3 linked regions of the Tamandua tetradactyla genome follow. The protein of the gene in region 1 interacts with the protein of each later gene in a biochemical or structural test. Links are inferred from orthologs where the notes say so. Each region holds a gene or a part of one and is shown on either strand. Other genes may lie near its edges. The genes, in order: UBXN2B, PPP1R11 and PPP1R7.

The links.
Region 2: the proteins of UBXN2B (region 1) and PPP1R11 form a complex in vitro, tested with the Homo sapiens proteins (2 studies listed by BioGRID). The link is inferred for Tamandua tetradactyla from reciprocal best matches to the Homo sapiens genes UBXN2B and PPP1R11.
Region 3: the proteins of UBXN2B (region 1) and PPP1R7 form a complex in vitro, tested with the Homo sapiens proteins (2 studies listed by BioGRID). The link is inferred for Tamandua tetradactyla from reciprocal best matches to the Homo sapiens genes UBXN2B and PPP1R7.

Annotation. Positions count from the first base shown.
Region 1 is NC_135332.1:101,717,482-101,724,499, forward strand, and holds the start of UBXN2B (UBX domain-containing protein 2B), read left to right. Parts: upstream 1-3,997; 5' UTR 3,998-4,019; coding exon 4,020-4,103; intron 4,104-7,018. UniProt on the Homo sapiens protein: Adapter protein required for Golgi and endoplasmic reticulum biogenesis. Involved in Golgi and endoplasmic reticulum maintenance during interphase and in their reassembly at the end of mitosis.
Region 2 is NC_135331.1:84,560,386-84,567,372, reverse strand, and holds the start of PPP1R11 (E3 ubiquitin-protein ligase PPP1R11), read right to left. Parts: upstream 3,094-6,987; 5' UTR 2,795-3,093; coding exon 2,726-2,794; exon of another isoform or gene 2,578-2,725; intron 1,609-2,577; coding exon 1,500-1,608; intron 1,083-1,499; coding exon 991-1,082; coding exon of another isoform or gene 880-990; exon of another isoform or gene 16-879; coding exon 1-15. Other genes in the region: POLR1H (DNA-directed RNA polymerase I subunit RPA12), read right to left, coding at 5,116-5,140. UniProt on the Homo sapiens protein: Atypical E3 ubiquitin-protein ligase which ubiquitinates TLR2 at 'Lys-754' leading to its degradation by the proteasome.
Region 3 is NC_135329.1:79,627,194-79,634,817, forward strand, and holds the start of PPP1R7 (protein phosphatase 1 regulatory subunit 7), read left to right. Parts: upstream 1-4,613; 5' UTR 4,614-5,681; coding exon 5,682-5,733; intron 5,734-7,624. UniProt on the Homo sapiens protein: Regulatory subunit of protein phosphatase 1.

The sequences.
Region 1 (7,018 bases):
TTATATAAATTACAAGTTTACTGGCATTATTTGCAGGGAGTGAGAGTCAAAACATGAGAACAAAAACTAGATTATTCATCTGTGAATCCCCACAGTACCTAACATCTTTCTTTAAGTTGACTGATAAAAAATTGTTAAAGTTTTTAAATTTGAGAAAATTTCACATCAGTAAATGTGAATTCAGGCAGTGAAGCCCCCAGTCTTGCTGATCCAATAATCTATTGGCTGCTTCTGTTTCAGGACAGCAGCCGCTTCTCCCAGCTAGAGTAACCCACTCTTGCCTAGGCAACTGATCAATGCACACATTCCTGATAAGTCCAACTGGAATTTAGATGTATTAATTCAACCTATGTACTATGCACTTTTAAATTGAAAAATTGGTGATTAAGTGGATTTGAGAAAATAGTAAGGAATTTTTGTATAAGATTTAAACTAAAATATACTAAGCATTCAAAAATAAGTATACCCAACTGCATAACTATAATTTAAAAAAAGTATTCAGTATTCAGAACTTCTGTTACAGGCTAAGCATTGGAGATATAGAAAGAACAGAAAATAATCCTTCCTCTTGGAGGGCTTCACAGTCTAGTGATACCCAGACCATAATACACTAAAAAAAAAGTCTTCTGTGCTGATTTTAAGCTATTATGTACCCCCAGAAAAGCCATGTCCTATAATCCTCATTCAATTCCATATATCTGGATGGGATCTTTTTTATTGTTTCCATGGAGACATGACCCACCCAATTGTGGATGGGAACTTTTGATTAGTTGGTTTCCGTGGAGATGTGTCTCCACCCATCCAAGGTAGGGTCACTTACTGGGAGTCCTTTAAGAGGGAAACTTTTAGAAAAAGCTTTAGAGCCATGAGAGCCAACAGAGCCAACAGAACCAACAGAACAGACAGAGTCGCAGGGAGCTGTTGAAGAGAAAGCTAGCAGATCTTGCTATGTGCTTTTCCAGCTGAGAGAGAAACCCTGAACGTCATCGGCCTTCTTGAATCAAGGTATCTTTCCCTGGATGCCTTAGATTGGACATTTTTATAGCCTTGCTTTAATTTGGGCACTTTCACCACCTTAGAACTGTAAACTAGCAACTTAATAAATTTACCTTTTTAAAAGTTGTTCCGTTTCTGGCATATCGCATTCTGGCAGCTTGCAAACTAGAATAGCTTGTGAAAGGATTGTGTACAAAGTTTGGGTAGTTATATGGGTAAGGAGTAACCAAAATACCTGGGGAAGCTGGTAAATACCTACCAAAAAATCACACTCGAAGTAATGATCTTGAAATAATACCTCATTTCTGCTTCATTCTAGGCAAAGAAAATGGTAGAAGTATAGTATGAAAAAGCCTATGTGCAATGCAGTGAGAGCCTTGACAGGCGCAAGGTCATTTTATTTCTCTGGTCTTCAAATATTTCCGTAAAATGAAGACAATATCTAACCCAGAAAGAAGGTTGTTGTGGATTAAATGAAATAACAAATGCAACCTATGAATATTCCCAAATGGAAATATCTTATATTCTATAATCATTAAAAAGAGATTTAAATGTTTTAAAGGATGAAACAAGGCCTTCATAGTTTATCGTGGCCTCTGATCCTTGATGGCCTCAGTAATGTTTCAGCATAAGTAAAACTACCCAAACGTGGTTTTCATTTAGGCCGTGAAGTTTAATTTGGATACAGTTTATTGGTCCAAGATAGATGGGCTACACATTGTTCTGCCCGTAGCTGATAAAGATTTCTGTTAGGCTAGGCTGTTATTTCTTGACTTTCCATGAATGGAAAAAGACTTTGAAGACAGTCAAACCCAGGTTCGAACCATAGATCCACAAATAATTCATTCATTCATTTCTTCATTGAGACATTTATTAAAAGTACCTATTATACTCCACATTATCCTATGTTAAGGCACTAGAGATAAGATTCATGATATCTGTGATCTCACAGTCTAATGGAAAGAAAAAACAAGTACAGCAAAATGTGAAAATTAGGTCTCAAATTTAAGCACCCCAAGATGCAATACAAATAGCATATCAAAGTGAGTATGAGACAGACCATTCTGCAGGAATCTTCATGGCAGAATAAATTCCATGATTCTTAAAATCCTTCATCCTATAAAATAGAGAATGGAGCAAATGAAGTATCATTTGTGTTCAGATTTCTTTGTAGAAAGATGAATAGAGATACCTTCTTTTTCATCACAAGCCAAAAGTAGAGTTCAAGGGGACCACTTGAATGTTGGTTGATATTTTTGTTTCTATTAACAAGATAAAAGTGAAACAACAAAAATATGTGTAAGAACCTGATGTGACAACTTATTTCCTGAACTGACTAGGAGTTTTCAAATATTGAAAGAATGTTTCCTCTTTTTTTGCAATTTACCTTATAATAGTTACAGACACTGCACACTTTTAAGTTTCTTCTGCATTATTAGCATTTTGTCCACCATGTGCTTAAAAGTACATGCAATATATCGAGCTCTTATTTGTGGTATTTTCTAATATGTGATGTAAGTACTTCCAAATGATCTATTTCAAGCCACCAACATGATATCACTGAGCCAAAAGCTGGAAAGAGGTGTGCAAAAATGTACAATTATAGGATAAACAAAATACGGTATATTCATACACTGGAATACTATTCAGCCATGAAAAGGAATGATACGCATGGCAATATGGATGAACCTGGAAGACACAATGTCGAGTGAAGTGAGCCAGATGCAAAAGGACAAATATGTTATTTCAATGATCTGAAATAATTATAATTTGCAAATTTACAGAGTCAGAAACTAGAATACAGGCTACCAGGGGCTGGTGGGTGTAGAGAATGGGGAGTTAACCCTTAAATGAACCAGTATTTCTGTTTGGAGTGACCAGAAAATTTTGGTAATAGATGGTGGTGATGATAGCACAACACTGTGAACATGATAAACAGCACTGAATTATACAGTTGAATATGGTTCTTTAAAAAAGGGGGGAAATTTTAAGTTGCAAAAAATGTTTTGAAAAAGAGGACTGTACAGCACAGTGTGTTCTAATGTAAATTATGGATGCTAGATAATTGCCCAATTATAATAATATTCTTTCATCAATTATAACAAAGTTACCACACTAATGCGAGGTGTGGTGTTGTTGATGGGGTATATGGAAACTCTGGGTTTTCTGCATGGTTTTGGGTAAATGTACAACTTCTTTAACAAAAAAATATAGATTACATAAAAAAGTTAGTGCACAAAATTATATAATATCTCAAGAGCATAGATGATAGTAAAATGTATTAAAATAATTAGAAAGTGATGAGTTTGGGGCATTTATTACCTTTGTTTCAATATCATTTCATTGTAAGTTTATATAATTTAGTTTTTAATAATGGCGGTGTTTAACAACCGGCTTGCAAATTTCCCAAAAACTTTAATAGGCTCTCACAAGACTTCAGCTTAAAACACGGGCACACCACTGACTTCAAACACACTGAAAACGTAGCCGTCACTGCCCTGTCACTCCTCAAACTACTACAACTTGACATTTCCTCTCTACCTGAACTTGCAGTACAGCGATCTCCTACACGTGTTTTCACCTGTCTTTTCCCCGCTAGACTGAGAGTTCTATAATGACTAGCATTTTGTCTTTTTACTGGCATCCTCCGGGCATAGCAGTAGCGGCATAAAAGAGGAGTTCAAATCAAACTAAGCGAATGAAAGGCCTGACCATCTGTAGCTGTCACGGCCGCCCGGAGGTGTCCCTTTTGAGGTAAATAAGCCCGCGAGCCCAGGCTGCGCTAGAGACCAGAAGCAGTGCCTCCAAGACCTAGCGTGCAGCAGACGAAAACTCGTCCCTAGCCCACCCCTCTTAAGGAAGAAGAGGGAAAAGTCAGCGCGGGCGCCAAGCGACCCGGCAGCCGGGCGGGTGGGCGCGCCCAGGGCCTCGCGCGGCTCTGCCCTCGCTCCACCGTTGCCCGGCAACCCGCCCGGAAGTCCCCGGGAGGCGCGTCGGCGGAAGCGCCCGGGACCGGGCGGAAGATGGCGGAGGGCGGCGGCACTGAGCGCGGCGAAGGAGAGCGAAGGTCCTCAGGGCCGCGGCCCCCGAGCGCCCGGGACCTGCAGGTGCGGCGGCGGCGGCGACCGGGAGCGGGCGGGGCAGGGACGGCGGTGTGGGTCGGAAGCCGCCCCTGGCCGCGGCTGAGCAGTTCCAGACCGCGCGCCTGCGGGTTTGCCCGAGTGGTGCACAGTCCGCGGGATTCGTGGAGACAAGTGTACGGATGCCCGGGTCTCGTGCGCCTCAACCCATTCTTACCATTTGGTTAAACTCAGAAGCCACCTAATCTTGAATGGCATGTTTGTGGTGTCTGTTGAGCGGCTTCCTGTGATTTACCTCAGAAGGAAGCTTTACTGTGGCTGTAGAAGTCAGCGGGCGCTGAAACATTAAAAACGCATGCAGTGGTTTCTCCTTTCTTGTTTCAGATGTTGTTTTTTACTTGATTACTGATACATTTAAAAAAAAAAAAAAAGGTACCCTTGCATTTCTCTTTGAAAGGGCGGTGCTAAAGCGTGTCATGCTATTGCTGTACAACCTAGTTTTAAAAGTTACAGTCTAGGGTAGTTCACGGTGGCTCAGCAGGCAAAGTTCTCTTCTGCCATGCTGGAGACTCGGGTTCGATTCCCGGTGCCTGCCCATGCAAAAAAAAAAAAAAGAAGTTACAGTCTAGAATACATTGCACATAAGAAACGGAGAAATAAAACTTTATAACATTGTAGGACACAGGCATTTAGTTAGCTAAAATATGAGTTTACCACGTACTGCTTTACCAAATGCTGACACCGTTTTTCTTATTTTAAGCTTTTTTCCCATCTCCTTATAAGATCATAGATAAATCCAAATAAACATCTATAAGAAGCTGTAATTATAAATAAAGGAGATGGAATCCACTGTCTAGGTAAACAAGTTCTGTTTCTTTATAATCACACCTACTTCTCTAAGCAAGCATCTCTTGACTGTCTGGCCACATAAATAAGGAACTATTGCTTAGCTCTGGGTACTGCAAATATAAATCCACAGTCAATGTATAAAATATCTATGAATGATAGATAAAAAAATTAAAATGTACTTCTACCTTTAGGAAGCCAGATTTTTTTTGAGAAATAGGATATGATACATTTAACTTAACATTTCAAGATGGAGAGTGAGTACTAAAATAAGCAGTGCCTAAAATGAGGAATTTGGAAAATAGAGAGATCAGTTTAAGTTTAGAGAATGTTGTCCAGGAGAGGAACCAAGTGTAGAATAATCCCATTTACAGTCACCATAAGTTAATTCTGTAGTAATAAGCAGAATCAAGAAAAAGGAAGCTATTCTCTACCTCGTCTTTTCTGTTATAGACCAACATCACTAAAAAGGTAGAATGAGGTATTGGGAAGAAACGGAGTTTATGGGTCAGACTGAATTTTGGTCTTGCCGTCTAATGGTTGTGTGAAGTTAAGGAAAATATTTTAACTTTGATCCTCAGGGTCTTCATTTGTAAAGGGAGTGATATTGGTGTTGGTGTTGTAAATAATTTTAAAATGTTTGTAAAGTGCCTGTACACAGTCCCCATGTTTGATAAGTGTTTGGTTCCTTTTCCCTTAAGGGAAGAAATCAACTGTAGCTTTCACTGACTTTTTCATTCTAATGCCCTTAAAATTAGAACTGAGTAACTTAATATCCTTTTCCTCTAATTTAAATCTATTTTTTCTTTTCATGTGAAAATACATATAGCTTGTTAAATGACCACCTGATACCTGACAGATTGATTACTGACTTTAATGACTTAATCCAGTGGATGTATTCTTATATGTGTTAATTGTAAGAATGTTTTGTTTCCACCATAAATTAGGAGGTAGGGATTTTTTTGTTTCATGTCCTAACTACAGTGTGCCTTAGTAAGGAGGTAACTGGTTACTTTATGAAATGTGATTTGGTATACAGTATTTATTTGTAATCTTTCCTTTAGATTTTAATATGCCGGGAAAGAATAGGTCAAATTCACCCCTTCTTCAAGGAACAGCTAGAGAAGTGACAGAAAAACAACCAGGACAGCGACAGGATGCAAGTGACCTGACAGGGTTTTCTGTACCACATAGGGGGCCCCTGGTTGAAAAAGCTGAGGAATTGAGACTCAGAGAACCAAAGACCATCCAGCTAATGCAAAGAGCCTAATGTGCCCCTTTCGAAACTGAGGCCTGGAGCCCTCAGGAGTGCCTGACAGGGAGACGGGGACTAGGAAGTAAGCCAAGCTACGTTCCCTGAGCACACTGTTCCCATGCACGCCACCCAACCCCGCAAGCCATGCTCCCCTACCCCCTCACCGCACCCCACGCACCTGAACCCTGCTATCCCCTGAACCCACACATCCTCACCGTATGCACACATTCACCCCTGCCCCCCCACCATGCATATGCACACACTCACGCCCTGCCTATCACCTGCCCCCCAACCCACGTAGCCACTCTGCACATCTGTCATACCACCCCCAGTCCGTTGTACATGTACATCCCTGCCATGGCCCCCTCCCTCTGTGCCACGTTCATGCACTCACATGTGCCCTACCCCCAGCCTGGCAAATGCACACACCTGCACTCCAATGTCCCCACACCTGCACAACTGCACCTGCCCCCACACAAGCTGCAAAAGGATGCCCTGCCATCCCCAATGACCTGTATACTAGTGCACCGCCTCCACGTACATCCGCATTGGTACACCCCCTCCTAGGTTCTCAGGAGCAATTCGTGCCACACCCACATCCCACCTCAGATACACGTACTCCACGACCCGCACATGCCCCTTCTGACCCCCACCTACACTCCTCCCCATCATTCCATGTCCTGCACACCTGCACCCTGCTCCTGTGCACAATCACATCCACATCCCAGCCGCACCCCCCCATCATACCACTGCCCCACCCACCCTACCCCAGACCCCTGTCCCCGTGACCCACACCCCTACACCCTGACCTCTGCACCCTGATACCCACAACCCCCATACT
Region 2 (6,987 bases), on another chromosome or scaffold:
CAGAGGTATCAAAACCTTACAAGAAAGAGAGAAGAGTGTAGGTATACATCCCCATCTCTTTGCTCCCTCTATTTTCCTTCCACCCCCTGGGGACTCATACCCCTAGGACTATATAGGATCTGTCTCAGAAGCTAAAAGACCAAAGCCTTCGGAGACAGTTGACTCTAATTGACCAGTGTTCAAAGACAACTTTGTCAGAAATCTAGATCACAGAAGAAGGGTGTGGAGAGAGGACATGACTATTTCCTGCTCCATTTTCCATTAGAGGTGAGGATGACAAAGACCTCTCCTAACTCCTTCCTAGTGCATGAGGGGAGTGGGCAGGGAAGGAGACGAAGGGCTAGGAGCCTTGAGGTCTTCCAAAGTTCTCACAGCCCACAGGAATAAGAATCAGGATTATGTAAAAAAAGAAAAAAAAAATTAGTGGAAGAGCTCTAAACAGCATTAAAGCACAGCTGGAGCAAGATTGCCTGGAATCTGACTGGGACTCTGGCAGTGAAAGCCGGGGCTGTTAGAAACCTAATATTTGGGACTCAAGTAGACAATGCAAGGGGCTGAGATAACTGGATCCCAGGACAGGTAGTTTGGCAGTGAGAACGAAGGGAAGGGAATGGGACCAAGATGTCTAGATCTCTTAAGAGGGAAAGATGGATATTGGGAGGAGAAATGAGAGCCAAAGGAACCCAGAAACCTGGGTTCTGGTATAGCAGCAAGAAGAATTCCAGGTTTTCTGTCCACCCCCCTTTCTATCTTCTATCAGGCAGAGGAGAGGGAAAGAGGGGACTGGAGAAGAGATCAAACCATGGGTTTAATCCCCAAGTAGCCACATGAATACATTCAGGGCCAGACAGACACAGGAATAGTGGGGAAGAAAGGAATTTAGTGCTGCATTGGTCCTGGAGGGGGCTGGGACGGGTCAGGAGGCTGGGGAGGGGTGGTAGGGGTCAGTCCCAGAGTTGCACGACGCCGTCCTTTGCGGTGGCCACGGACACAGTGTGCATGACCACAGCCCTCCTCTTCCTCCTCATCGCTCTCTGTGGAGCTCTCGCCAAAGGCCCGAGGTTTCTCGTAAATACAGCAGCCTAAATTTGGAAGTGGAAGGGAGAAAAGTAAAATGCACCATGTCTGCTCCATTCCCACTGGATCTCTGAAAATTCCTACTTATACCACCGCCTCTTCCTACATTTCAGGATCCAGCTTCCCCAGGCTCCCTGGAACTCAGCCACCCAATCCCTTACCCTGGACTCTCCTTTTCCAAAGCCCTATTTCTCCCACATCTGACATTTCTTGCCTTCAGGTCTTGGCACATCCCTTTGCTAGCTTCCTCCCTATCTCTTTTCCTCTAATTTTAACCTTCTCTCCTTGATGTCAGAGAACCACCAAGAAAGTGGCTGGATGGTGACCATCTGGGGGCCTCAGGGAAGCCAGTGGATGTGAGAAGGCAGATTTGCAGAGAGGAGCCAGGATCCCAGGGTTATTGAGGGCCAACAGTTACTCACATTTTGATGAGCGGCGCCCCATATGCTCATTGTCCACAGTGTCGCTTGACCATTCCACCTTTTTCTCTGGCTTCCGTTTCCGAAGTTTGATGGTTAGGCTTCGGTTCTCCTAGAAAGTTAAGAGGGATGGGCTTACCTATCTATTCTACTCCCACTGATTTTTCCCACACCCTCCCAGGGGCCTCCCTTCCCCAGTTCATTCTGGTACTAGAGTCATATACCAGAAAAGGCGAATGCTGGGAGAAAATAAAATAGAACAGGTCTCTGGCATCAGGGAGTTCCCTGAGGATTAGTAAAGCACTATTTCCTGTTCTTGATAACAGCTAGTGTACAGAGAAGACAATTCCTAACCTAGGGAAGGTCCCAGCAAATCTTCAAACGAAAATATAATCCTCGCTGTCTTTCCGTCTTCCTCCCCAAATCATTCTTGGTGGTATTAATACACGAAAAAAATTTTTTAGTCTTCAATGCCTCATCTTTGATCTCCCTTTCTTTTTCCAGACCTTTTATTCTTCTCCGCTTTAAGTAAAGACCTCCATTCTCACCTCCCATTCTCAAGTCCAGCACTCCCCATTTCCTATCAATTTATTTCCTGAAATTCTGGCATCTCTGATAATTATAAACTCTTATTAATCTAGAGTTTATTGTGCCCAATGCCACCTTCTTTCTTTGAGAGCACCTTAATCTCTGCTTTTGCAAAAATACTACTTGTTTGTCCATCTTATATCTATCTCTCCTACCCAACTTCTCAAAATATTATCATCTCCTTTTCTCTGTTCCCTCATTTCTTCCACTTCCTTTTACATTCATTCACTCAACAAATATTTGATAAGTATGCTTCAGGTCAAATTCCCCCACAACTGGCCTCCATCCAGAGTTTCTTAGACTCCACCCAGCCCTAACCCAACCCCCATCCCCAGCACCTCCCTTGCTTTAACCCTCCATTTCCTATTCCTTTATACTTATACACTACCGTCCCTCCAAAGCAGCGTCACCTATATTCTAACTCTAACCCCTTATTACGTGTCCCTTGATTAACCTCCTGCACTGTCACTTCAAATATACCCAATACCTTGCGATTCTCCCAACTCCAGTCCTTCAATCCCACTCATCCCATATCCCCAGGGCCAGCCCCTGGAGCAACTCTCCGACACCTATTCCCTCCTTCCCGATTATCTCCCAGACCCCTAATCAGCACCGCTCCCCCCACTCCCCGCCTTTCTCACGGGCTCAGTTGTCACGGTAACCGTTGTCTCAGTGACGGTCTCACTCAGCCCGGCCCCTGCCTCAGCCATCGCTAAGGCTAAGGAGAGGGAGGAGGGATGGAAGGGGTACAAGACACCCTTCTCTTATTCTGAATCTCTGGGGTCTAAAGAGAATCGGTATCGGATTCAGAGTAGTAGCCAGAATCCTCTGCCTTCTTTATTTCCCCTCCTCCTGGGCCTCCACTTCCCCACCCCCGGGGATAACCTGTCCAACCCCACTTCCGGTTCTCCGCTTCCGGGTGTGACGACTTCTGTAGTTCCTTCTTTCCCCGCACCAGCTGCGTCAGAGCGCAGGCGCTGCCAGACTACTTCCGCCATCATGTGACAGAAACTTGGCGGAAGAAGCGTCACTACGTGTGTGGAAGGGCATTGGTAGTGGTGGTGGTGAAGCATTCAAGAGCGGCATGCGCACGCGCAACAGAGAAACGGCAGAAATGGGCGGTCCAGGAGGGCAGCGACCCACCAGGCGCTTCAGAACTTGGTGGGCTGTGCGCCGAGCCTTATTAGCGGCCAAAGGCTCGTGGAATCGATCGGTACGGTAGCTGAGCTCCCGATCTTTAAACCTGGGGTAGGGGGCGAGATGGAGAAAACTAAGGAGTAATAGTAATTGGCCATACATTGGCCTAGTCCCATTCCTTAACGTTTCGCCTGAGAATTAGGGAAACGGTATCTTGGTCCACTGGAAAACACTTTATTAGAAATCAAGCCATCTCTTGCTTTGTCCCTTGCTTAATGCCTGTAGGTGTTCGGGCAAGGCATTTCATGCAGCTTCACAAAACACGCAGACCCTGCCTTTAGTACCCAGTCTAGTGAAGACAGGGCGCTCAAAACTAAAAAATATAAGGCACTGGGGTATAAAAAAGAAGTAAATATCTGTGAAACTGAATTAAATTGCATATGATCATTTGAACTAACCCTGGGGTGGATATAAGACTAAGAGAAATGATCAGAAATCACAACATGGGGCAATTTGTGCTGCAATAAAAATATATGCACATTCTCAGGAACAAGAAAAAAAGTTTTAAAGAAAGTGAACAGGAAAGGCAGGATTTTAAAGAGAGAGAAGCTTACAAAACCAGAAATGTGTGCACTGAAGGAAATGCAAACGGTTTTGTACTTGCAGGTGTACGCGGCTTGACAAAATAGGTAGTAATTATGTGGAAGGGTCTGCTTTGCTGAGAAACTTGAACTTTATTCAGTAAGTGTTATGAGACAGGGAGAGGCTTAAAAAGTAGGATGAAACATGCACAGATTTATTTCAGATTGTGGGAGTGGGTCAGGGAAGTCACCTGCCAGAACAGTTCAAGTGTACAGTTTGAGAAAGACTGCTCTCCAAGAAAGTCTTTCTCATCTCTCCAAGTTGCTGTAGGGATCAAACAGGATGGTTTATGTTTTAGAGTTCTGAATATATAATGGCCACACAGCTACAAAATAATCAGTTATTAATCTTACCCCTGGGTCACCATTTAAGCAAAGGAAAAGCGGGAATGATGATTCAGACTAAAATTTGAATGTACTTATTGTTCCTGATCTGTTTCCCTTGTAAATTTTTGGTTCAAACTGAAAAAGGAACATACAGGTCAGCATATAGTATGACCCATTTTATATATATACATATATCCACATGTACATATATAATTTGGGTATCTCTGTAGAGTGGTATTCCCCTTGCTTTGTACTTTTTTTCTTTTTACCTTTTTAAGTGTGAAATCTATTCCAAAGAATATATGCATTACATTTATCTCAAGAGCAATTAAAAAAACACAATTACCGCTTAAGTAATTTCTTGTTCACATGTAGTTAAGTATATGCTGGTATCCCTTGGTATCAGAATTTTTTGTTGTCCAAACTAATTTACCAAATAGATTTGATTAAAATTTCAGTTGAATTCTCACAATCCAACACCCATGTTTTGCTTTCCTAAACTCAGTAATCAAATAGATTTGGAAAGTGAGGACTCTAACTATTGCTTTTTTTATATTTAGCATCATTTCTGATTCCAACTTTTTCTTCCCCTTTTTCTTTCTCGTATACTACTGATTTATATTATCTTTTGCAGTTGATATATTTGCTGAAAGGACAAATATTATCTGTTAGCTCACTTAAATTCCTGTTGGAACAAAGCAGATTGTAAATAACATACTCTTAGAGAGAGATACAACTTTAATAAGGAAACTCAACTAGGGATAGGAATGTTCTGAGGACAATGGCAATCTTCACGAGAGGATCTAATAGCCTCTCTGGAAGCAAGACATTACAATCAGAGAGGCTGGACAAGGGATCTAAAGACCCAGTATTCTTCACCTTCTAAGGAAAACAGGGAGGCACTGATCAGTAGCTCAGAAAAAAAATCAAGAGTCTTCCTTCTCCTGGAACCTGTGGAGAAAGAAAATATTTGTTATATTAAACAAAAGAAGAGTTTCTGGCAGTGTAAGATATGATACTCAAAAAGAATCAAAGAAGGCTTGTATTTATGCCACTGTGGAGAACTAGATCTCCTAAACAACCCTCCAATGTGAAGACAACTAAAAATGCTGGGATTAAAAAAATATTTATGCCCATACACACACACAGATACAATGAATTATAACCTTGAAGTTTACAAAGATTTATTCTACAATGCAAAAAGCACTAATCATAACAGGATCTCATTGATGAGATAGCAAGAAAGTAAAGGCAATCTTTGCCTTGGTCAGAAATGATGTAAAACTAGGAATGGAGAAAGGTAAGTTAAACTTGAAGTCCCCTGCTACCTGCTACTGTTTTGAGAGACATGTGGAATGTAAAAAACTAAAGCTAAAACCTACAATGCCTGATAAGAGATCCTTTGCATAAATTTGGGACCTCCACCCCCACCCCCAGAGGGCCTACCCCCCTCTGTGTAAAAGTGAAGAAGAAAAAAATAATTCAACTTTGCAGAAGGGGAATCTAATAGTTTTCATGTAAGTAGAGGAAGAGAAATGTATTCCCTGAGAATTTCTAACCATAAAGTGGCTGCCTTAAATGGTTTTGCAGCTTAAATGAATACTACCTGTGTGGTCGAAAAAACCTGAGCCCAGAATTTATTTAAAGTGATTCCAGCTCTGCAGTGCTCAAGGCACCTGAATAGAGCAAGTACAAATGCTGAGAATTCAGTATTCACCACAGGCCTCAAATAATTCTCATTTGCATAAAGTTTCAAAAATCCTGACCTCAGGCCAAGATGGCAGCTTAGCGAGGTGTGTGATTTAGTTCCTCCTAACAGCTAATAAATAGCCAGGAACAGTACAGAACAACTGCTAGGGCCATTATCAATAAAACAGTAAATAACAAGTGCTGAAGAGGATGTGGAGAAAGAGGCACACTTATATACTTTTGGTGGGAATGTCAAATGTTACAACTGCTGTGGAAGGCAGTGTGGCGGTTCCTTAGAAAGCTAAGTATAGAATTGCCATATGATCTGGCAATACCATTGTGAGGTATCTACTCAGAGGATATGAGGGCAAAGACACAAATGGACATTTGTACATTATAGCAGCATTATTTACAATTGCCAAGAGATGGAAACAGCCCAAATGTCCATCACAGACGAGTGGCTAAACAAGCTGTGGTATATAGATACGATGGAATATTATGGAGCTGTAAGATAGAATAAAGTTATGAAGTATGTAACAACATGGATGGAGCTTAAGAACATTATGCTGAGTTAGATTTGCCAGAAACAAAAGGACAAATACTGTATGGTCTCAATGATATGAACTAACATTAATGAATGAACTTGGATAATTTTAGTTAAGAACAGAGGTCATCAGGAGATAGAAATAGGGTAGATATTAGGTAATTGGAACTGAAGGGATACAGATTGTGCAATGGGACTGATTATAAAAATTCAGAAATGAATAGCACACTACCTAAGTGTAACACAATAATGTCAGAACACTGAATGAAGCTGAATGTGAGAATGATAGAGGGAGGGGCCCTGGGGGCACAAATAAAATCACAAGGAAAGACAGACAATAAAGACTAAGATGGTATAATCCAGAAATGCCTAGAGTGTATAATGATAGTGACTAAATGTACAAATTTAAAACCGTTTTGCATGAGGAAGAGCAAAGGAATGTCAATAATGCAGGGTGTTGAAAATAGACGGTAATTAATATTTTAAAATTTTAACTTATGTGTGAGACTAAAGCAAAATATGTTTATTTGGGGAAATATCTTATCAATCTTATAATAGGAGGCGG
Region 3 (7,624 bases), on another chromosome or scaffold:
GATAGAACCATCCTCTGTCTTCATTGTGGTTGTAGTGATATGGGTGGACCCATTTCTCAAAACTCACTGCACTCTATACTTAATACGGTACATTTTGTTGCGAGCAAATTATGCCTCAATAAAACTGATTTTTTAAAAATAGAATTATCAGTGAATGGTTAAAACTGACAATTAGTCATAGCTGAAGAGAAAATTTGTGAACTGGAAGATTTTTTTGAATAGATAATCCAGAATAAAACACAGAGAAACAAGGAGAAAAAAATATGTCAGGGAGAAGTTAACAGACAGTCTAAGACGATCTAATAAACACCTAATTGGAGAGAAAAATGGAGAGGAGAAACCATTTGAAGAGAGAAGAATGAACACTTTTCAATAATAATACAGGAAAAAAACGCACAGATTTCAGACCACTATAAATGAACAATGAGGATGGAGAAGGAGGTGGGCCTGAGCCCACCAGACAGGAAAACTCAACATAAAGCTGTAGTTACTCCGTTGGCAAGACTGAGCAGGAATAAACCAGTACATCACAGAAATAAATGGGAAGCCCAGCAACACACTCTTGCCTCTATGAACACTTATTTATCATGACTGGGGAAGCACTACATATCACTGAAGGAACACAGGCTGTTCCGTTGATGATATTGTGACAACTTTTTATCCAAATGGAAGCTGGGAAAGCAGATCTATTAACACACCCGAAGCAGAACCAAAGCCCAGAGCCTAATAAAAGATTTAATCTGTGAAATTCAAAATACTAAACTTTTAGAAGACAATAAAATAAGTCATCTTTAAGACTTTGGAGTAGGGAAAAAAATTCTTAAACAAGACACAAAAAGCTCTGTGATTGATAAATTAACCATATTAAAATTAAGAATGTCTGTTCTACCATAAAGAAAATGAAATGACAAGCCACAATTTGAGAAAGGATATTCACCATATATATAATCAACAGACGATTAAGTCCAGAATATTTTTTAAGTAAATAAATAAGATTTTTAAAAAACTTAAGTGACACATAGTCCAACAGAAAAATGGGCAAAGGCTAGGGACAAGAGTTCACAGAAGAGGAAAACTAGTGGTCAATAACCCTAGGAGAAGAGGCTGAACTTCATTAGCATAACCAGGGCAACTTATACCCACTAAATCAGCAAAAATCAACAAATCTATTAATACCAAATGTTGAAGGATGTGGATCAACAGGAGCTCTAATTAACTGATAAAAGCTCTTTGGAAAACAATTTTAGTTAAATCTTGGCCTACTCTGACCCAGCATTTTCCACTCCTAGATTTCCATCCTAGAGAAATTCTTTCATGAATGTAGCAAGACACACACACAAGAATGTTCAAAGAAGCATGACTCACAACAGCAAAAAGGGAACCAATGGAAAAACAGATGTAAAATTCTGGTATATTCACACCATGAATTATAACAGTGGAAATAAATTACCCACAATGTGGATAAATGTTAGCAATAGAACGAAAAAAAAAAGTCAAGTCACAAAAGACTATCAACAATAGGATTCCCTTTTTATAAAATCCAAAAGCCCATCTAAAATATATTATTTAGCCATATCTACATATGTGATGAAACTGTCTTAAACAAGAGACTGATAAACACTGACTTGAGACAGTTGGTTTCCTCGGAGAGGTGAAGCAGGGAGGGGGCACTGGGGCACAGGGGCTTCCAGTTCTCTACGTAAGTAGTGGATTCAAATGGGCGCACTTTATTGTAATGAATGTGACTGATGTTACATTTATTCTTTCATATGACTTGATTAGCACATACTAAAAATTACATTAAATACACACACACATCCAGCTTGGATCCTGGAAAACGATAGCTGTGTATGAACCAAAAGATATGTAGGGAGCTAGAAATAATTGAATAATAAACTATCTTTGCTTCAAGTAGCAACACTTAAATCTCACAGGTTTATATTTTCTTCTCTAAGCATCTAACTGACAAATTATTTCTATAATAGATAGCAATGGCATGATCGTAGAAGTAGCTTTTTACTTCTAGAACCAATCTATAGACAAAACACAGAAGACATCATTACAGATTCAGAGTGCATGGTACACCTTTCAAACCTTCACTGTGTAAAAACAGTTAACCTAACTCTTCAGAAAACATTGTATATGTAAAGTAAAGCTTTACTCTGTAAAAATTATAACTCCTCAGAATACATGGAAAATCTTACAAAGCTTTATGTATAAAAATGATAATATAACCTTTCAGAATACATTGTAAATCTTTTCAAATTTTACTTTGTAAAAATAAAAATATAACAAAAATAGGAGAAGAGGGAAGGTGAAGAAAGGGTAAGTGCATGCATTTTTTTGTCTTTCACAGAGGACATCAATAAACTGTCAAAGTTGATAAATCAAGAAGTGGAAGTTTAATTATATTCCTGAAAGTTACAGTGTTACTATGGTAAACAGGGAGGAAAGCTGTAACTAACACTGATATGGGGGGGGGGGGGCAGTAAGGGAGAAGACTGCACCACAATGTCCCTCTCAGAGCAGTCCTTGGCTTCATGCCACCTTAGGGGGTCCTTGGGTTTTCTGAAATGGTTAACTCCAGTGCTAACCAGAAACACATATAAGTCTACACCTCCCATTTTTAGAAGATTTTTGTATCAGCTCCTGAAGGTGCCTCAGGATAAACCTATGCCCATAGCTAGTTCTGATTCCTGAAGAAGCAAGTAAACCTAATTTAGACCAAATAAAAACAAGGAGAAGTTTGCAGGGCACTTCTGGGAAAGTCCTCCTTGCTCTTCCAGGGAAACTTCTGGAAGCAATTTCCTCTCTCCTACTAGAACCTAAGGTAGGAAGCACATAATTCCAGGTGCTCCCACCACTGCTGAGCAACCAAGAGCAGAACCTTGGGATGGGGCCAACATGGTGAGCACAGAACAGAGAAAGGCCAGGATTCTAGTCCTGGAAAATTCTGAGCCACTGGCTCAAGCACCCTAAGACCCACTAGTATCATTCCTCACTCCTCATAGCCATCCTGCATCTGTGCTTCTGTTTTCTTGGATCAAAGCATCCTAATAACACAGAGAAGGATAGCTGCCACGATGGGAAATGTCAGCAAAGGCTTCCTGGGGGAGGTACTCACTGGCAGAACCGAGCCAAGCAGAGTGCAGTGAAAAAGCCTTAAAGCCTTCCAAGTAGAGGAACCAGTACAGCAATGACTTTCCTACCACCCCTGGGGAGGAATCAGGACACAGAAAAGAAGGTTAAGACTGGCCTGGAGAAACCAGCATGCTCCAAGCTCTTTCTGTGCCAGCTCCAGCAGTCTGGATTTTATCCTGAAGACTGGGGACAAGGAGACAGGTCACATCCATCAGGGTAAGAGAATAGGCGATCCTACACTAACAAGGACAGAAAGATGGAGAGAGAAGGAAACCAATTAAGTGGAAACTGAGCTGGATTTTGAGGAGAATGGAAAGTAAGGGAAAGAAAGGAGTCAAGACTATTTCTAAGATTCCAGTTGCGGTGACTCCAATTCTCTGGGAAAAGAAAAACTGGCGAAGAAGAAACATGAGACAGCAGGAATAAACCTTGAAGACTTCACATGGAGGGAAAAAAGGCTAACACACAAAGACAAATACTGTATGAGCTCACTGATGTGTAATAATTAGAAAAAGCACAATCAGACTCAGAAACTAGAATGCAGGTTACCAGGGGTCGCGGTGGGAGAGCTAATGCTTTATTGTTCAGAGTTTCTATCTGGGGTGATGGTAGCATAATGTTGTGAACGTAATTATATATTCTAATGTGGTTAAAAAGGGAAATTTTAGGTTAAATATGTTGTAGAATTTTTTTAAAAAAAGCACACACACAGGACTGTACAACACAGCGAATCCTAATGAAAATTATTGAGTATCGTTAATACTACAATTATAATATTGTTTCATCAATTGTAACAAAGGTGCCACGTCAATGCAAGGCATTAATAAAAGTGGGGCATATGGGCACTCTGTGTTTTCTGAATGATTTTTCTGTTATCTACAGCTTCTTAAATTTACAGAAAGGTAAGGATAAAGTCCGGAAGGAGAGGGGAGCACCCCAGTGGCCGCGGCGGGAAGCAGCGGGCATGCGCACTCCAGCTCATTCATTCATCCCACGCGCAGTTGGTAACAAAGCCCCTGAGTGCCAAGCACCGTCCTGGATGCTGGAAAGCAGCTGGGACGAAGACGAGGTCTCAAGTGCTCGAGCTTAGCTTCTAGCTGCAGGACAGGCAGTGAGGAAATAAAGCAGATAAACCAAACTAAAGCGAGGTGAACCGAGCTCTCCTGGACCGCCCCATCCGGCCAGGTCGGGAGCTGGAAAGGCCCCGAAGTGGCACCGCACGGTCAAACCACGGTACGGCCTCCCGGGCACTAGGGAGGAGCCGGCCCGAGGGCCACAGGCGCAGGGCGTCGACGTTTAGGTGCCCCTCGCCCGAGGATCGGCGAGGGGCGCGCGGCGGCGGCGCAGGACGACAGCGGACCCTCGCAGGCCCGCGCCCCTCAGCCCAGGCCCGCCAGACCCCGAGAGGCCGCGGAGCAGGACCCGTTCTCCCGAGCGCACGTTCCTCACCTGGGGCCTGCGAGAGTCGCCGCTACAGAGCTCGCAATACCCCGCAGGGTGGGAGCGGACCCTCGCTTCCAGCCGCATGGGCCAATCGCATAGAGACTCGCGCCGAGTGACCGGTTCCGCCGGCCAACCACTGGAACCAGTGGGCCGGACTCCGCAGGCCCAAGGCTTGAAGCCCGCGCTTAACGGTTGCTAGGGACGCACCGGACGTGCTCTACGGCAGTGCGAAGGAGCCAAAAGAGACATAAAGCCGCGGACAGTCCGGGTCCTGGACGTTTTCTTCAGCATTCCTGATCGAGAAGCGTGATCGACTCGGGGTCGACTCTTGGCGGCCCAGTCCGAAGGACTCGCCACGCGGGGCAGCCCCTTCGTGAGCGGGGAGGGCGACGGACCGTCTGCCGCTCACGCTTTTTCAACCCCCCCAAACTGGAGGCTCGGAGCGGCAGACGGAAACTGCGGCGCCGTTAGGAATGGCCCGCCTGCCGTCCCGTCCTGCTGCCCACCTGTCCTGCTACCCCCTGTCCAGCTGCCCCACGAAGCGCGTTCACAAGAGGCGTGGTTTAATCCGCGCGATAATGCCAGGAGTAAGTTGCACTCGTCCACTGGGTCCATTCTACAAACGCGGCCAGTGAGGCTGTGAGATGCTGGGACGCACTTCGCCATCCCGAAGATTCGCGCGGCCGCAGTCCTTTACGCCTCTACAGTCGGGATAATGAAAGACATGACCCCACAAGCCAGGGCATTTTCCCGATTCTCCTCCAGCCTGCCTCGACGCCCTTGCCATTTGCCCGCAGCTACGGCTCCGCGCGCCCGCCTCGACTCCACCTCCTCTCTTTGCCAGCCTCTTGCTGGTCTTGGCTCTGCTTCCAGAGGTTACCTGCCCCGGAGAGGTGCAACAGGCGGCGCCGGAGGGTAAGAAGGGGCGCAACGTCGCGGGCGAACTACAACTTCCATGAGGCGCTGCTTCTGCGCAGGCGCGTCTGGTGCAAGCCTTTGCGCGGCGAGTCCATTGGTTGCGTAGCCTCGGCGATGGGAGTCCTGATTGGCTGGGGGATCTGAGGCGACTAATTCCGGAAAGGGGACGAGCAGCCAACATGGCGTCGGAACGCGGCGCAGGGCAGCAACAGTCGCAGGAGATGATGGAAGGTGAGTTGCTCCTGCGGGGTGGCGGCTGAAGAGCCCCAGCCGGTGGGGGTAGCAGCGGGTCGGCATTGCCCTTTCCCCGAGAGAAACTCGGCGTCCTACCTCCGGCGGCGGCCTGGGCCCTGCCGCGGCCTCCTGACCTCTGCCGGCTGGGGCTCGGCTGAGCGGGGCAGGCTCCAGAGACGGTATAGCCCGGGCCGGGGGTCTACAGCGGCTGGGCAGTTTCGGGAGGCTCCGAAGGCTCCGGACAGACCCGAAGGGAAGGGAGGGCGACGGCGAGAGTCCATGGCTGGTGGGTGGGGATTCTAGGGAACGTGGGGGCTCCCGAAGCTCCGCTGCGTTTCTGGTCCAGTTGGAGACATCCTCAGAACCTCGGAAATTGACATGCGGACAGCGATTGGCGATTTGCTGATGAAGGAACTGAGGCCCCGGGCGCTGTGTAACCTCTTAGAGTTTGCTTATTTTGTTAATGTGGCCGGGGCGGAGAAAGGTCCTCTCTTAAGAGCGAAGGGATTGTGGAAAAGGAATGACAATGAGGCGAGGAGTCAAAAGATTAAGTTATAAAAATTGCCGAGAAACCGTTATAGAAACAGCTATAGAAGTCTGTTTCCAGGGTTTTCGTGGGTCCGGAAAGAAGGCTAAATTCAACTTTCCTCCTCCACTTTCATTTTTCTAAAAATAAAAAAGTATGCACGTATACATATTACCAGTTGGTGAGCCAGCTAGGCTTTTGAATGCTTTTGTGCTTTTGGTTCTGCTGGTTTAGTGAGACAATCACTACACCCCACCCCCGGTGATACATGCTAGGGAGGAAGAAAGCAGAGCTAGGGAGTGGGCGTGGGGGAAAGGGAGCCAGGACTTGCTTGCCCGTGGGATGGTGAAGGGTGCACAGCCAAGGTCAGTTTGAACCTGGACTGTGAAGGATAACTACAAGTCAACCGATTGGGTATAGGGAGAAAAAAGGATCATTTCAGACCAAGGAAACTACACAAAGGAAAAGGAACAAAAGAACACGGACTATTTGGAGCAAAATTTGACCAGGATAACAGTCGTTGGATGAGGATGAGCCATGGCCCATGAGGCTGGTGAGAGGCCCTCATGGGGGACTTCAGGAGGACATGATAAGAGTGGTGGATTTTGATACCATGGAATTTTTTTAAGCACTGAACAGGCTGAGGAGTTGGGAAGGAGGGAGAATATGAGCGTAGTATGAACTCCTCATATTCTCCCTCCTTCCCAACTCCTCGGCCTGTTCCTGCTCTCTCTTCTACCATTGTATGGCTTGGTAAATGGCAATGCCAATTCCCTTCTTGCCCAAATAAAAGAAACAGGCTTTTCTCTCTCTCCCACTCCAACCCATGTTCAAAAAGTCAACCAGTTCTGATTCCTCTACCTCTTCAGTAGCTCCAAATCTCCAATACTTCTTCCACCTCCACTGCCAACCCCTTAGTTCAGGTCTTTGCCAAGCTAGATTTCATTGCCCCAGTTTGCCAACCCTTTTTCACAGTATCCCAAAGTCCTTTTCTTATGTCCTGATTCAGCTTTCTCATGCTTCAGACCCTGTCTGCTGCTCTCAGGGTAGAGGAACAGATTTCACTCCACCTGCCTTCTTAACCTCTCAGCACTCCTCCCATCTGGTCCTGGGCTCAGCTACACCAGAACATCACCCAGTAGACAATGCTCATCCTCAGTTCTGGGCTGGACTACGCTTAACTAATCTCCTCCGCTTGTCCTTCAATTCCCACCTCAGACTTTAGCTCCTTTGAGAAGCCTTTCTTAACTCCCTCACCTCAGTCTGGGATAGAACTTCTCTTAGGCCTTACCCCCAGTATCCCAGCACTGACTACCTGGACTGGATGGAAATCATCTCTTATGTAAGATCCTTGACTAGAGG